Linked DNA regions of Oryctolagus cuniculus. The protein of the gene in region 2 binds, or shares a complex with, the protein of the main gene of each other region. Links are inferred from orthologs where the notes say so. Each region holds a gene or a part of one and is shown on either strand. Other genes may lie near its edges. The genes, in order: CDK5 and CDK5R1.

Evidence for each region.
Region 1: the proteins of CDK5R1 (region 2) and CDK5 are in contact, whole or in part, in a crystal structure (PDB 3O0G), measured with the Homo sapiens proteins. The link is inferred for Oryctolagus cuniculus from reciprocal best matches to the Homo sapiens genes CDK5R1 and CDK5. Residues at the interface, in NP_003876.1 of Homo sapiens: Trp190, Gln193, Thr197, Pro198, Ala199, Phe203, Tyr231, Leu232, Ser235, Tyr236, Met237, Gly238, Asn239, Glu240, Ile241, Ser242, Tyr243, Pro244, Leu245, Lys254, Glu255, Trp258, Asp259, Cys261, Leu262, Ile265, Asn266, Ser269, Ser270, Met272; in NP_004926.1 of Homo sapiens: Leu37, Asp38, Glu42, Gly43, Pro45, Ser46, Ser47, Leu49, Arg50, Ile52, Cys53, Leu54, Lys56, Glu57, Val69, His71, Leu76, Arg120, Asn121, Val122, Leu147, Arg149, Ala150, Phe151, Gly152, Ile153, Pro154, Arg156, Cys157, Tyr158.

What each region holds. Positions count from the first base shown.
Region 1 is NC_091438.1:22,758,954-22,763,500, forward strand, and holds the start of CDK5 (cyclin-dependent kinase 5), read left to right. Parts: upstream 1-1,498; 5' UTR 1,499-1,615; coding exon 1,616-1,652; intron 1,653-2,257; coding exon 2,258-2,346; intron 2,347-2,432; coding exon 2,433-2,500; intron 2,501-2,608; coding exon 2,609-2,669; intron 2,670-2,773; coding exon 2,774-2,830; intron 2,831-3,479; coding exon 3,480-3,575; intron 3,576-3,670; coding exon 3,671-3,745; intron 3,746-3,915; coding exon 3,916-4,012; intron 4,013-4,183; coding exon 4,184-4,253; intron 4,254-4,547. UniProt on the Homo sapiens protein: Proline-directed serine/threonine-protein kinase essential for neuronal cell cycle arrest and differentiation and may be involved in apoptotic cell death in neuronal diseases by triggering abortive cell cycle re-entry. Interacts with D1 and D3-type G1 cyclins.
Region 2 is NC_091448.1:41,588,026-41,591,876, reverse strand, and holds CDK5R1 (cyclin-dependent kinase 5 activator 1), read left to right. Parts: upstream 1-1,711; 5' UTR 1,712-1,852; intron 1,853-2,172; 5' UTR 2,173-2,284; coding exon 2,285-3,208; 3' UTR 3,209-3,348; downstream 3,349-3,851. UniProt on the Homo sapiens protein: p35 is a neuron specific activator of CDK5. The complex p35/CDK5 is required for neurite outgrowth and cortical lamination. Involved in dendritic spine morphogenesis by mediating the EFNA1-EPHA4 signaling. Activator of TPKII.

The DNA.
Region 1 (4,547 bases), on a different chromosome or scaffold from region 2:
CCAGGCACAACCCGGCACCAGGAGCCGGGCCCCGGAGGCCGCCCCCGCGGGGGGTCTCTCGGCCTGGCCAGGCGAGGCCGCCGCCCAGGCCTTCCCTGCGCGGGGCTCTGGCGCCCGGGGACGCCGTCTCTTGCTCCATGACGGCACTTCTGGGCGGAGAAGAGCCTGCTTTTCGCTGGAGATCCCAGCCGGCACAGGACGGCCGGGAAAGCCAGGCAGTTTCGATACAAACGCAGCAGGGCCAAGACTCTCTTGCGCCCACCTGCACGCAACCCCCCAGGCCTCCAAGAGAAGCCCCCCTGTCTTTGCACGGGGCACGAGGTGATGGCGGCTGGAGGTTGGCTGTCCCTTACCCCGAGTTGACCTAGGACCGGTCACTTTCAGGGACACAAACGCCTCGCGGCGGCCCCCTCCTCGTCCTTGCTACCTCCCACCCTGAATCGAGTCCTGTTCTTTTAAAGAACTTGTGTGCCATCTTGTTTTCTCAATTAAAAATGCGTTTAGGTAAGGATTATATACTTTTTTGTTTTTTTAGTCTGCCACGTGGGTGAAGCACAGCATTGTGTATGCGAAAGCATTCTGATATAAAGGAATTAATCCACAAATTGTCAGCACCAGTTCTGGTTCCTGGCTGCGGAGTGCTATTTGGGGCTGTTTTCGTCCAGTTCACAGCCCGGAAGAATGCAATCATGAGACAATTAGAGAGCAGCACAGGAAAATCTATAATCAACTGCCGTAAGGGATGAGGTAAAGGCTGCTGTAAGTGTAGCATCTGTCTGTGGTCTTGTCTGTAGAGGGGGTAACCAACCTGTCAGCCCTCGTGGGCCACACCCTTACTGCCTCCAGTGGGCTCTGCTCGGAAGACTGGGATCTGGGGGGACTCCCAGGGCTCCAGCCGGCTCGCCTCATCATGGGCTCCGAGACGACAGATGAGGTCCAGCAGAGGGAGAAGTCACCCTTCCAATCCAGCCAGAAATGGCAAACACCTGCCTCTACCCAGCCCTGGGGTCAGCTGGTCCCTGTGAGGTCATCGTTCCTATTCCCCAATCAACCTTGAGGTCACTGGGAGGCCTGGGGCGAGGTGGAAACCCGCGCTGAGGTCGCTCGGAACTCATCATCACCAACCAGGTCAGAGCTGAGCCACTAGGTCCCGGATCTGGGCCGCCAGACCTCAACCCGAGGGCGCCCTACCCCCACCCCGCCGCATTCTGGAACGCGTAGTCCCAGAGCGACCCTTTTCAAGAAGGCACACAGAAAAGGAGTAACAAGAGCGGGGCACACTGGGAACCGTGGCGTCACGGTGGGGACGCCCAAGGAGCGGACGCGTGATGCTTTCTGGGACTTGGAGTCCAGGGTTTGCCTCCGCGGTCGAACCGGAGTCCCGGGAGTCGAGTGCTGCAGAGGACCTTAGCGCAGCCTGCTGGGGGCTGTAGTCCTCTTGCCCGAGTCTCCGGACACCGCTGGGAAACCTGGCCGTCCTAGGACTACAAGCCCCAGAAGGCCATGCGCAGACAGGAGGCGGGGCGGGGCCGGAGGCTGGGGTGCCGCCTCCTCTGCAACGCCGGGGCCGGAGTCTTAGAACCCAGGGCCCGCAGGGGTCCCCGCGGCTGCCGTGATGCAGAAATACGAGAAGCTGGAGAAGATTGGGGAAGGTAATAGAACCACGAGATGTTCCTGCAAGATCTTCTTCTGCAGACCCTTCGGGATTCCTTGCAGCCTAGGCTCTCCCGTAGTCTGCGGTACCTGCAGGCTCCGACCTCAGCACTGGCTTGCAGCCCTGGCCCCCAAGCTCAGCACTCCGTGCAGACACCAGCCCTGCCCGTGTTAGCATTCTCCGCGGACTCCCACTCCCAACGTTAGCCTCCCTGTGGAGCCGACCTCCCAGCCGCGGCACGTCCTGCGTTTCCCACGCCTAGCTTCAGCACCACTTGCACATCCTCACCCGGACCCCAGCAGATCTTCAGCCTTGACATTTCTGCAGGCCCTCAGTTCTCTCCCAGAGTCCTGCTATGGCCAGACCTCCCGGAGTGCCGCCCTTATTAGCGCTGTCCTTACCCTGGCCTCCGGCTCAGACCCTGGAGCCTCAACCTTTAGGCCTTCCCTACCCTGCAGCGTCCTCACTTACAAAGCTCTTGCAAGCCTGCCCCTCACCCTGAAGCCTTTCCCTTACACACTCAAGTGCCCTTCCCCCTCCCCATTTCCTGGGGATGGGGAGGGTGCCGCATCCTCCCCCTCATCTATGACCTCCTCCCCTTAGGCACTTACGGAACAGTGTTCAAGGCCAAAAACCGAGAGACTCACGAAATCGTGGCTCTGAAACGCGTGAGGCTGGATGACGATGACGAGGTAGGACCGGGGACACCAGGGCAGGGAGTGGCAGATGAGGAGGCCTGGGGTGAGTGGGATCTGACTGCTGCTCCCTCGCTGTGCAGGGTGTGCCGAGTTCAGCCCTCCGGGAGATCTGCCTGCTTAAGGAGCTGAAGCACAAGAACATTGTCAGGTGTGGAGGGGGCAGGGGGCCCTGCAGGTGGAGGAGGAGGGGGCTTCAGCCTGGTTGGGGTGGTGCAGACGTGCAGACCTGCCTGGCTCAGCCCTTGCTTCTCCGTAGGCTTCACGATGTCCTGCATAGTGACAAGAAGCTGACTTTGGTTTTTGAGTTCTGTGACCAGGTGAAAGGGGATGGGGGTGGGCTGAAAGGGAGCAGGCTTGGGAGGGTGTGGGGCCCAGACGGAGGTTCACCTCTGTCCTGTTCCCCCGCTGCATCCCTTGACAGGACCTCAAGAAGTATTTTGACAGCTGCAATGGTGACCTCGATCCTGAGATTGTGAAGGTGAGGGGAAGGGTGTTCTGGGGGCTCTTCGGGGCTGGGGTTCCGGTCTGTATGCAGTGTCAGCTCTCCTGTTTAGGCACAAATCAGGGACTTTCTGGGGGGGGGGTGTCAGAGAAAGAGCAAACCTGCTCCTGCCCTCCAGGGGCCTCCGGGCTTAGCCAGCATTTCCACATGGCCTCCTTGGACCTGTATAGTGACACTCTGAGGCCAACGGCTATTTCCACCCAAAGAGCTACACTCATTTAATCAACAAACATTTGCTGAGAGTACTAGGCCCGAGACCAAGTGCCTTGGCCCAGGTTCCAGGGGAGTCAGGTCCTGAACCATCCCAGAGCACAATATCCATGTTGATGGTGACAGACTGTACACTCAGGTCCAGCCAGGTAGGGGAGAGAGGCATGGGCTGGGAAGGCAGAAGGCCTATCGGGCTATAAGGTCTGGAAGGGCAGGGAGCAGAGCCACTTGTTTCCTGCTGTACGGGCTGCAAAGCCAACCCTCGGCAGTGAGTGCATATAGTGTTGTCCTGAGCTTGGTGCTGGGGATTGGGTAGGACATGGAACAAAGCTGAGGGTGAGGCAGGGAGCATGCCCATGGCTGGCATCACCTCGTAGCCAGGGTGTCTGACTCTGTCCCCTCTGCCCCTCTCTAGTCATTCCTCTTCCAGCTGCTGAAAGGCCTGGGATTCTGTCACAGCCGCAACGTGCTGCACAGAGACCTAAAGCCCCAGAACCTGCTCATAAACAGGGTACTGCTCAGGGGAGAAGGGGAGGGCAGGGGGCAGGAGCCTGCCCTGAGACGTTTAACAGCCCCGTGCCGTGCCTCCCTCCCGTCTCCCCCCAGAATGGGGAACTGAAATTGGCCGATTTCGGCTTGGCTCGAGCCTTTGGGATTCCTGTCCGCTGTTACTCAGCTGAGGTGAGCTGGGGGGTGGGATTTGGAGTTGAGGGGAGCAGTCCCTGGTGTTTTTCAGCTCCTGCTCCATGACCAACCCGAGACAGTGCCCTCTCTTCTCTGAGCTCCCCTCTCCACCCTCCGTCCCAGCCCTCTAAACGGGAGGGCGTCCCTGTGGGTGGGGTCTTCTCCAGGTGGTCACGCTGTGGTACCGCCCACCGGATGTCCTCTTTGGGGCCAAGCTGTACTCCACGTCCATCGACATGTGGTCAGCCGGCTGCATCTTCGCAGGTGACGTGCTGGGGCGGCTCTGCTCTTTCTCCCCAATCTGGGTTGACAAACAGGGTCTGGAGGGTGCCCTCTCGGGGAAGGGAGTAGGGCCCTCGGGTCCGGGAATGGCAGGTGCAGGGGTGCCTCGGAGTGAGGAGTGCGCGGTGCGTCACGGCTGTGCCCCTCTCACAGAGCTGGCCAATGCCGGCCGGCCCCTCTTCCCTGGCAACGATGTGGATGACCAGCTGAAGAGGATCTTCCGATATCCTTTCGCTGCCCCCAGGGCCCTGAGCCCTGGGCCCGCTGGAAGCGGGTGAGGCCGTGGACCGACAGCACAGGTGTGAGGGTGGCGGTGGCCTTGCCGGGATGGCGGGGTCTGCAGGCTTCTCCTGAGGGTGAGAGGCAGGCAGCTGGCACACGCTGTGCAGAGGTGCGGCCTGCAGGCACAAGGGCACGCTGGGGTGTGCTTCCGGACAAGTTCTTAGGCCAAAGCAGGGGGGTTTTGTGGAAGAAAGGGAAGAACACTGGCTCATTGGGACCCCAGACAGCAGCATTT
Region 2 (3,851 bases):
ATCTCCGCTGAGGGCTGGAGGCACGGGCTGGGGTTGAGCTTGGCCTTAGGAGGACAGACAGTGGACCAGAGGACTGGAACAGCCAGGAGCAACTTTGAGTGTCTTGCCCTGAAGGCGGAGGACTGCCCCACCTGAAAAGCAGGTAGGATTGTTGCTGTGTCCATGGCTTGTCTTCACCAAAGCCCACAAGGCCTGGTCTCCAGTGTTAACAGCATTGGCAGGAGGTGGGAGCTTTAAAGTCATGGAGGCTCCACCCCCTTGAAGGAGCTACTGTGGTTTTCGGGGGAATGGGTGGTGGGTGGTTATTGCAGAGTGGGTGGCTATAAAAAACCTTCCTCTCGCTGGTACACGTGCCTCTCCACGTGCCTGCCGGCTTGCTCCTCTGCCTTGCTGAGCCGAAGCCACTGAAGCTGAGCGGATTTGGCTGCCAGGTACACCTCTTTTCTTTATGGATCACCCAGTGCTCAGGTGTTGTGTTTTAGCAACGGAAAATGGACTAAGACAGTTGTATACTGCGGAACTTCAAAGGGGCACGCTGAGCTGACTCGGCCTTCTAAATCAGCAACAGCTGCTGTGGTGGTTCTGCAGGGATAAACTCGCTTTGTGTGTGTGTGTGGGGGGGGGGCAGGGAGCAGCCCTTTGGGTACAGAGTAATGCCTGCGCCGGCACCAAGGTTCCTAAAACTGCGTCGCCACCATGAACGACTTCTGGTTGATAGGTAACTGAATGCTAGCGCTTCCTGACTCGACGGCAGCAAGGTTCGGCGTGGTGCCAGCTCAGTGTCAGGGAATTGGGTGTTCGTTCACCTCTGCACCCCCGGCAGAGAAGAGGTTACCACCCGATCAAAAGCACTAAGTGAACAGTGGTCTTGGCCAAGGGCCTGGGGTCACGTCTGAGGAACGGCTCTTACTGGGACCGGGATTTTACGCAGTTTTATTGGCGTCAGGTTGTCAGATCAGGCGGGTGTAGAAGGGAAAACATCCGAGGCAGAGGCTGGTTGGAGGAGCAGTCGCTTCCGCGTTGCCCTGACAGGTGAGGGTGAGTCGCCCGCCCGGGGCTCCACGGCAGGTTTGGAGTGCGGAACGCGGCCGCGGCCTGGATTTCTGAGACCGCCGCGCGAGGAAACGGAGGCCCCCGGGGGACCGCCGCCACCGGGGGTGCGCGTGGTTCTCAGGCGGCTTCAGGAACGGCCTCGCCTCTCCCCGCCGCAGCCTTCTTTTCCCCAGCTCCTGGGAACGGGCTCCGGGCGCGGCCTCGGCGGAGGGCCCGCTGCGCGTTGCCAGGCCCGGGGCTCGGCCGGCAGCTGCGGGCGCCGCGGCGGGAACAAAGGCAGCACGTGTCTGGGCGGGGCGGCGCGGCGCGGCGGGCGGGGTCGGCGCTCGGCCCCGCCCGGCCCCGGCGCGCCCCGCCGGCCGAGCTCGCCTGCGCGAGCGCCCGGGACCCTCGCGCGACCGGACCGCTGCCGGGGCGGCGGCGAGCAGTGCGGGAGGGGCCGGCGCCGCGTGTCCCCGCCGCCCCTCGCTCGCGGCTGCGTCCTGTCGCACCGCGCGCAGCTCGGGCTGAGGACGCCGGTGGCCGCGGCTCCCGGGTCAGACCGGGCCCGCCTGGGCTCGGCGCGCGCACGGCGCTCGCTCGCTCCCGAGAGGACGGCCTGTGGGGTGCGCGCCGGGGGCGGAGGCGGGAGCGCGAGCGCGGCGAGGGCGGCCGGGCGGGGGGCGGGGCCGCGGCGCCTGCAGAACCTTGGACAGAAGCTTCGGCAGCGCCGCCACCGCCGCCGAGCGCCGGGATCGCGGCGGCGGAGCCGCGGCGCGCACTGCGGAGGGCCCGGAGCGCAGGAGCCCCCGCCTGCCGGGTAAGCCTGCGCTGGGCGAGCGTCTCGCCGCCCCGGGAGCCGGGGCAGGGGCCGCGCGGGGTGTCGAGGCTAGGGTCTGCGGCTGCCTCCGCCCGAGCCCGGGCCCCTCCCGGCTGCGCCTCGGGACCGCAGCGGCGGCGGCGGCGGCGGGCGGGGGTGCCGCAGTGGAGACGGCGAGGCTGCGGCGCGCGGGCGCGGGCGGGGCCGCAGAGCCTGGGGCGAGGGCCCCCGCAGCGGGGGCCTGGGCCTGGGTCCGTGGGGGCCGCCGCCGAGGCGCGGAGCCCCGCCTGGTGCTGAGAACCATCTTGTTTTCCACGCAGATCCGAGGGGCCGCACGCGTCCTAGGAGCGCCCGCTTTGCTCCCCGGGGCGGCCACAGGCGCGGTGAGCTGGTGTTCCCCGCCGGCCGGCAGGCTGGGCGTGCAGCGGCACCATGGGCACGGTGCTGTCCCTGTCCCCCAGCTACCGGAAGGCCGCGCTGTTTGAGGATGGCGCGGCCACCGTGGGCCACTACACGGCCGTGCAGAACAGCAAGAACGCCAAGGACAAGAACCTGAAGCGGCACTCCATCATCTCCGTGCTCCCGTGGAAGAGGATCGTGGCCGTGTCGGCCAAGAAGAAGAACTCCAAGAAGGTGCAGCCCAACAGCAGCTACCAGAACAACATCACGCACCTCAACAATGAGAACCTGAAGAAGTCGCTGTCGTGCGCCAACCTGTCCACGTTCGCCCAGCCCCCGCCGGCCCAGCCGCCCGCGCCCGCGGCCAGCCAGCTCCCGGGCTCCCAGACCGGGGGCTCCTCCTCCGTGAAGAAGGCCCCGCATCCCGCCGTCAGCTCCGCGGGGACGCCCAAGCGGGTCATCGTCCAGGCGTCCACCAGCGAGCTACTGCGCTGCCTGGGCGAGTTCCTGTGCCGCCGGTGCTACCGCCTGAAGCACCTGTCCCCCACGGACCCCGTGCTCTGGCTGCGCAGTGTGGACCGCTCGCTCCTGCTGCAGGGCTGGCAGGACCAGGGCTTCATCACGCCGGCCAACGTGGTCTTCCTGTACATGCTCTGCCGGGATGTCATCTCCTCCGAGGTGGGCTCGGACCACGAGCTCCAGGCCGTGCTGCTGACCTGCCTGTACCTCTCCTACTCCTACATGGGCAACGAGATCTCCTACCCCCTCAAGCCCTTCCTGGTGGAGAGCCGCAAGGAGGCCTTTTGGGACCGCTGCCTCTCCGTCATCAACCTCATGAGCTCCAAGATGCTGCAGATCAACGCCGACCCCCACTACTTCACACAGGTCTTCTCCGACCTCAAGAACGAGAGCAGCCAGGAGGACAAGAAGCGACTCCTCCTCGGGCTCGACCGGTGAGCCCCGGGGCCCACGCCGGGGGCTCGCGGGTTCCGTGCGTTTTTAAAAATTTATTAAACAGAATCGGAGTTTTGTGTACAGTACGTGTCTAGCGAAGCCGCCGGGGCGCTCTCCCTTCCCACCGTCTCTCCTCCGGGTGCGTTTTTGGCCTCACCGGCACCTCTGGGTACTTTGGAGCTCACAGACCTTGTGCAAGACCCAGAAGATGCGGCCAGAGCCGCCAGGCTGCTGGCCTCTCGCTCCGGGGAATGCAAAGGACCGACCCGCCTCTGCTGCTGGTGCCCGGGCTGCCCTCTGCTCCCTGGACGGGTGCTGGAGAGGGGCCCCTGGTCAGGGGCTCCGGGGAGGAACTGGGGTTTGTGCTAGGTGGCTCTCTGCTGGCAGCCGTTTTGAGCCATTCGTTCTCCCAGAGGCCAGCGGGGCGGCGAGCGGGGTTGTGGGGCGAGATCCTCCGCGGCGTCAGCCAAGGTGGGGCGGAGAGCGGCGGCCGTAGTGCGGGGACTGCGTCTGGTCATCTGGCCACACGAGGCCCTGGTTTACTTCTTTTTTAGGGAGAAGGGCTTCCTTTCAGTGGAGAAATGCAACTCGCCCCATCTGCACCCTTGTCCACTGCGCCCAGCTGTGTGGGCAGCGTTGGCCAATA